2 linked regions of the Notamacropus eugenii genome follow. The protein of the gene in region 2 interacts with the protein of the main gene of each other region in a pairwise test. Links are inferred from orthologs where the notes say so. Each region holds a gene or a part of one and is shown on either strand. Other genes may lie near its edges.

The links. The genes of interacting proteins can lie anywhere in the genome.
Region 1: the proteins of ZBED1 (region 2) and LRRC20 interact in binary tests that used the Homo sapiens proteins (3 or more experiments, as listed by UniProt). The two-hybrid records come from large-scale screens. The link is inferred for Notamacropus eugenii from reciprocal best matches to the Homo sapiens genes ZBED1 and LRRC20.

What each region holds. Positions count from the first base shown.
Region 1 is NC_092872.1:258,715,942-258,719,687, reverse strand, and holds the start of LRRC20 (leucine-rich repeat-containing protein 20), read right to left. Parts: upstream 2,644-3,746; 5' UTR 2,535-2,643; coding exon 2,356-2,534; intron 1-2,355.
Region 2 is NC_092876.1:395,061,140-395,064,885, forward strand, and holds the start of ZBED1 (E3 SUMO-protein ligase ZBED1), read left to right. Parts: upstream 1-1,237; 5' UTR 1,238-1,253; coding exon of another isoform or gene 1,254-1,362; intron 1,363-1,393; exon of another isoform or gene 1,394-1,414; intron 1,415-2,604; exon of another isoform or gene 2,605-2,810; intron 2,811-3,746. Other genes in the region: DHRSX (polyprenol dehydrogenase), read left to right, coding at 1,254-1,362.

The DNA.
Region 1 (3,746 bases), on a different chromosome or scaffold from region 2:
AATTTTCTACCTCTCCTTAGACACTGGTTCTTTTCCTGGCTGCCTTCAAACATACTCTGACCTCCTCCATCCTTTAAAAAAAAAAATCCAACTAACTTCATTAGGCAAAACAATCCTTCAAGCTATTGACCTTTTATCTCCAACCCAGTCCAGTCAAACACTAGAGAAACACCTGGTGTTTTCCTCTTTCTCACTTCCCACCCACTTCCCAATCCAGAGAAATGTCTTTCTGTCTGCCTGAATCCTGGTGCAATGATGAGAGTGCTGAATTTGGAGTCAGAGGACCTGAGTTCAAATCCCAAAGCTACCTAACTCTCCTTGGATATAGAACAGTTGTCCATCAGCACTGGTGTGGGAAGGGTTTCCTCACTGGAAATTCTAGTTTACTGAAAGAAGAACCAGAGGCCAGAGGGTTAAATGACTTGGCCCAGGTCACAGAGCTATTAAATGTCTGAGGCAGGATTTGAACTGAGGTCTCCCTGACTCCAGGCCCAGTACTAGAGCACCAAGTCCGGGAAGCAGTCACACACAGCAGAGCCAGGAACTCCCTAGTTAGTATTCTCAAACACCTTAGGAATATAGATAGATAGAGAGATAGACAGACAGACAGATAGATAGATATACACATGTATATATGTATACACATACATGTATATATACATATATAGATGCATATATGCACATATACACACATATACTATATATATGTGTGTGTGTATATACAAACATACATACACACATAGTTACACACAGTGAGCCCACATTTTCAGACCACATCACCAAAGGAAGGACCAAAAGACCCTTCCCCCAAGCTGCCCATCAATCTAGTCCTCCATGCCTAAAATGGCCTCCCCCTAGAGGCGCAATCCTGGGGAACTTCCTCCAGGAGCCTCCTTGCCCTTGGCCATCCACCCACCCTCAGCAGAAACTGAACTGACCCTCCTCAAGTTTCTCAGCACTTTGCCTACCCTCTTTTCCACACTCACTTCTCTCTTCTAGAGCTCACTCAGGTGTGGGGAGAGCTGTCTTCCTCTTATTCAATTGTAATTCCTAGAGAGTAGGACCTGTGTCATCTATCTTTGCATCCCCAAGGCCCTGCCTGAAGGAGGAGTTTGTCAAATATTTGGCGAATGAAATTCAGTGATTTCACAGAGTACAACTGTAGGAGATGGGCTGAGGGGTACAGAAAATTCAGTGCCGTATTTCTGCTCCCAAGGACAAGAGTTCTTAATCTGGGAGTCCAGTGAATTGGTTTTTAAAAAATATTTTGATAACTCTAATTCAATCTAATTGGTTTCCATTGTAATATTCTGTATTTTACTTCATGCATTTACAAACATGATCATGAGAAGGCTGCCATAGGTTTCACCAAACTGGGCAAAAGGGGTCCAGGATCCAAATAAGTGAGGACCAGCTGCCCTACGGCAGCCCTTCTTCTGTCCCCAAAACCCAGAGATGTATGCAAAAGAGAGGTCTCCAACACCCCCTCTTGTCACCAGTTGCTCTTATGTTTAGTTACTGGTACAGGCACAGGAAACTTGAGCCCCTGGGCAGCCACAGGGAGACCCAAGCAGGATGACACATGCTTTCATCCTTCCCAGAACTCACTGTAGGGTGCCAATATTTCTAATAGGACCCTGTAACAAAAACAAAGCTAACAAACAGGAAGCTGACCATTCCTGGAGTCTAAGCTGAGTAAAGGAGCTCCCAAACTAAGCTGCCTCAGTTTCCCAGGCCTGAGAATGGACCTTAGAGTGGGCAGAACAACAGTATTTGAATCTTCATAACTTGATCAAGAATTCCTGCCTAAATTACCCAGCTCCAGGAAGACCCCCAACACTGCCCTCCCACAATCCTCACCCTCAACCCAACAAAAGCATTTCCAGGGCTCTCTATTCATCTCCATAGTCCAGCCAAGGCACTGGCCTTTAGGATAGATAGTAAGGGACAAAGAGTCCCAGAACCCAACAGCAAAAAACCTGGGTTCAAATGCCCCCTCTGCTATTTGTGGTGGGAGACGACCAGTCAAATCCTTTCCCCTCTCTGGGCCTCAGTTTCCTTACCTGGAAAATGTCAGGGGGTTGATCCTTAAGTCAGAGAGGCAGCATGACCAGTCTGGTGATGCTCGGAATCACATTTGTAAATGCAGTAAGTAAAATAGACAGGATTACAAAGGAAACCAATATCACCAATTAAAACAAACAAATTCACAGGACCTCAGGGGGCAGAACGGTAGCTAACATCTACCTAGCACTTTAAGCTTTGCAGAGGCCTTTACAAATAGTTCATGTGATCCTCACAACATTCCTGGGAGGCTGGGGCCAAACTGAGGGGGGCAGAAGTGAAGCAACTCACCCAGGGTCCCACGGCTGGACACACTGTGTGACCTTGGACAAGTCCCTGTTTCTCCACCCATCAAATGAGGAAGGTGGACATGGCCTCTCGCTCCCGGGCCAGGATGTTAAGGTGATCTCAGGGGCTACAGGGGTGCAAGCTGGGGTTCGGGAGTTCCTGGAGTCCGCCCTCCCCCCCATAACCCCTAGAGCCGGGCTCCCCGGACAGCAACTAGGCTGGGGGCGGGGCCAGGCTGGGTGATGGGGTGGGGACTCGGCTCGCGTCGGTTCCTCCCCTAAAAGGCAGGGCCAGGCCTGAGGGCGGGGCAATACCTGGGGCGGGGCCTGGCGGGCGGCCCTCCCCCGCCCTCCGCAGTTACCCCTCCCCCTCCCCGAGGTCTCCTCGCGCTGTCTACGTCACGCGGCGGTTCCCTCTCTTCCTCTTTCTTTTTTTTTCTTTTTTTTGGCCAGGGCACAGAGAGGGACCGCCCGTCAGGGTCTGCCTTCTCCTCCACTTACAGCGAGACTGGCGCCTGCCCCCGGCGACCGTTGCGCCGCACTCCGGCTCTCGATACCCGCTGCCAGCCCCCTCCTCTGGCCGGCGCGAGGGAGGGGGGAAGGGGGCGGGAAACGCGCGGTCGGGGGCACGCGCAAACTAGCCCCGACCAATCAGCGACCGCGAGAACCGCAGGAGGCCCGCCTCTAGTCTACGGGCGGCCAATCAGTGCTCCCCAGCCCCACCTGGGCTGAAAGAGAAAAGGACCGAGAGAATGAACAGCTTGCTCGCTCGCTCGCTCCCTCCTCCCCTTCCCCTCCCCCCTCCGTGCAACCTCGGGCACCTCCCTGGCTGGGGGAGAAAGGAACCATTGGGAAGGAGGGGTGAGGGAAGGGAGATATGGATGGAGGGGTGGATGGGTGGATGAACGGAGAGATGGGTAAATGGATAGAAGGGTAAATGGATGTGGGTAGATGGAAGGGTGATTGAGGAGTGGGTAAGTAAGTGGAGGGATGGAGAGATGGATGGAAAGGTGGATGGAGGGAGGGAGAAAGGGAAGGACAGATGGATGGGTAGGTGCTTGGGTGGATGGATGGAAGGAAGGATATTAAGTGCCTTCTCTGTGCAAAGTACTAAGTACGTAATATTAAGTAAAGTGTTAAGTACCAAGCTGCAGATACCAAAAGAAAAGCAAGAAGGTCCCTGCTCTGAAGGAGCTGCATTGCAGCGGGGGACACCACACGTATGAGTGATGTTCCAGGCTTAGCATTGCGGTAATGGATAGCGCCAACATTCACAGAGCGTTTTAAGCTTTGCAAAGCATTTTAGGCATCTTATCTCATCCGACCTTCGCAGCAACCCTGTGGTATAAGAGCAGTGACTATAACCATTTAAAGATGAGGAAACTGAGGCTGGGA
Region 2 (3,746 bases):
GTCAGTCCAGTGCTGAAGGGACGTGTCCAATGGACCCTCTCTAAGGAGAGGGCTGAGGTTTGATCTCAATCAATCAATCAGTCACTAACCTTTTATGTGCCAGGTACTGTGCTAAGCACTGGGGACACCAAAAGGGGCACAGAGACAGTCCCTGCCCTCAGGTCGGTCCAGTGCTGAAGGGACGTGTCCAATGGACCCTCTCTAAGGAGAGGGCTGAGGTTTGATCTCAATCAATCAATCAGTCACTAACCTTTTATGTGCCAGGTACTGTGCTAAGCACTGGGGACACCAAAAGGGGCACAGAGACAGTCCCTGCCCTCAGGTCGGTCCAGTGCTGAAGGGATGTCTTCACTGGGCCCTCTCTAAGGAGAGGGCTGAGGTTTGATCTCAATGTGCCAGGTACTGTGCTAAGCACTGGGGACACCAAAAGGGGCACAGAGACAGTCCCTGCCCTCAGGTTGGTCCAGTGCTGAAGGGACGTGTCCAATGGACCCTCTCTAAGGAGAGGGCTGAGGTTTGATCTCAATGTGCCAGGTACTGTGCTAAGCACTGGGGACACCAAAAGGGGCACAGAGACAGTCCCTGCCCTCAGGTCGGTCCAGTGCTGAAGGGACGTGTCCAATGGACCCTCTCTCAGGAGAGGGCCTTCTCGTCTTAGCGACCACCTTTCCAAGGCAGCCCTTCACACGGCACCCCATTCCCCTACCTTTCTCCTCAGCTTCAGCCCCTGGCTTCTCTTTACGGCTGCCTACCTCCCCCAAACTCCACTTCCAACACCTCTTTGGTCTCCTGGAACGACACCCAAAGAGAAGAAGGCTGGCTGGTCCCCACTGTTGGGGTGGTCCCCACTGTTTGGTGGCCAATGCCCAGAATCACCCTATCGGGCTCCGGGGGTGGAGGAGGGGAGGGGGCAGGTTCGCGAGCGCGGACTTGGGGTGACCTGGAGGAAGCCAGGGCGGCCCGAGCCAGCCCCGGGGGGCGGAGGCGGGGCCGGGGTGGGGAGCGCCCGGGCCCCGGCCCTCCTCCGGCCTCGCCCCCGGGCTGAAGGTGAAGGTCTGGGTCCCGCGTCCAGGCTCTGGAACCGCCGCCGCCAGCGGAACTGTGCAAGAGCGGGGCGCTCGTTTCCGCTGGGTGTGGGCTCCGCCGAGCGGGCCGTCCCTGCCCGGAGAGAGGCCGACTTCGCCGCCGCCGCCCCTCCCGTCTGCGCGGCGGAGAGGAGGAGGAAGAGGAGGAGGAGGAGGAAGGGAGCAGCCATGTCGCTATTGTCTCCGCTGCTCCCGGCCTTCAAGGTCTATTACATGGGCGTTCTCGTGGTCCTCTCGCAGCTCTACCGGCGCTGGCGCTACGGCTTCTCTCTGCCAGGTTAGCGACCCAGCCCGGGGCGGCTTCCTCGGGGCTCTCCGGGAGGTGTCAGGTGCGGCCCGGGAGGGTGTGTGTGTGAGTGTGTGTGTGAGTGTGTGCGTGCGTATGTGTGAGAGTGTGTAAGCTGGGGGGAGGCGGAGGAAGGAGAGAAGGTGTTCTTTCTTGTTCCTCCTTTATCACGGAGGCGGGGGGAGAGGCAGGAGCCTGAATCTGGGCCTCGCTTCCTTCTTCTGGCAGCCTCCGAACTTTCCTCGGGTGGGGGTGTGTGCGTGTGCGTGCGTGTGTCTATGTGAGTGAGTGTGTATGTGTGTTCCCCCCCGCCGCGCTTTTGCTTCTCCCCGAACGCTCCGCAGTCTTCCTACCGGACCACCCGGCCAGGATGGAGTGGTCTGTTTTGTTTTCAGAAACGGCAGCCCGGACCTGGGGAGGGGGCAAAGGTGGGAGACAGAAAACTTCCCTTTTCTGCTCCTCTCTCCAGTCTAGGACCCTGGGGAGCGGAGGAAAGGGAGGGGAGGAGGGCTGGGTTTGCAGCCGCTGCGCCCCAAACCTTGACCTTGGCCTGGCCGAAAACAATGAGTTTTCCGTCCCCCTCCCCCTTCCCCTTCCCCACTAGCCCTGCGGACCCCTGTGGGGCTGGTGCGTAGTTTGGCTTTGGAGCACGTTAGGCGGGGCCTGTAACCTCCCTCTTCCCCCTCCCCCCGCCGCCGGACTGGAGCTGGAGGGGTTTGCCAGGGGGAGGGGGAGGTTGGGCGGAAGCGCGAACCACCGGCCCCCGGACAGAGTTCGGAAGCCGGTCTCGTGCGCAAGCGCCCCAGTTCCTGGGCGGGCGGGCTGGCTGGCTTCTCCCGGCCGCACCATCACCGTTCCTCGCTGCCTGGCCCTGCGCAGGGGCCCCGGCTCGGCTCCTCTGACCCCGTGGGCCCATCTCCGGCCTATCCCTGGCAGCTGCCGGGCCCCTCCTCCTCCCGTCTCCACCCCTCTTCGCACCCCCACCCCCCCTCGCCTTGCACACTTGGCCGACCTGGCCCTTCTGCTCGCAGAACCCCCTCCCTTCCCTCCCCAAGCTTTGTCTCGGCCACTTTCAGGGTCTCTTCTTGTTTTGTTCTTGAGGGCTGGCAGAGTTGGGCTCTTTACGGTTTGGCTTTTCTTTTTTTTAAAACAGTGCTAAATCCTTTCTAAGAAATAGCAACCTCTTGTTTATCTGTTTTGGGTTACAAATCTCAGGTCGTTTTCCAACTCCAGATTATTTTTGGATGTGACAACCCAGGGCATGCCTGCAGTATGTAACTTAGACCAATTTTACCTGGCTCTCTTGCCCTCCTCCTCCACTCTTTTGAGTTTGCTGCCGAACTGCACAGTCAGCATTACCACCTTGCTCTCCCCACTTGCCCATGTGAAGGAAATGTGGGTTTCCAGAGAACTTTAATATTGCCGCAGCTGAGTTGTAGGTAAGGACTGGATTCTTAATGCATGACTACAACAGAAATGAAATTGACAGTTTGCTACTTTTTGAAATTGACAAGGGATGAAGGCTGGGAATGGGTAAAGAGAGGTCATAACCTTTGTAAGTTTCTTTATGTGAAATGAATGAAATGTGAAATGAATGAATGTTCACTTTGGAAAGTCCACATGCCATCGCACCGAGTTAATTGGATAAGTTTGTTTTTTTCACTTTATTTTCTTATCCTTAAAAGAATATGTAAAAATGTTTAAAATGAGGTCGAATTCCCCACTCTTCTAAACAGATTGTAGAGCCTAATTTAGTTTAAAAGTAAGCTAAACATTTTTCTAGCCTTAGTTTTTCTGACTAGAGGAATTGGGGCATTCACAACCCCATTAAATAATACTTATAAAATCAGTTGTAATTAGAACATAATAATAGAAAACGTATGCCATCCCCCCTCCCCACTTTAAAGTATTATAAATTACTAGGTCCAGCTGGTACTTTGGGAAATATTGGTGGTGTTATGAAAATGAGACTAGAAACAGAAATTGTTTAGTATAAAATAGGACAGAGAATCTAGTACTGGAAGACTTGTTAAAACTTTTTGAGAAGGAATTCATTCCTTGGTAAAGGATATCATTAAATTTAGAGGAGGTAAGTAGTAGACATAATATCTCTTAAGTAATATAGTTGAAATAGCCATGTTAGACTTGATTATCATGCATCTTAAAAGAAAAATATTAAAAAACCAATTGTTTGTGAACTTTTCTACTTAAAGATAATATAATTGTCAAGAGACAGTTTGCAATACAGCACATACTTCAGAAAATTACATAGGTTTCAGAAGTTTCTTAACTGCTACTAACATCTCAGAGGAGCACAATCTAAATAAAATATATATGTATATAATATATATTTACATATATATAGGTTAAACAAT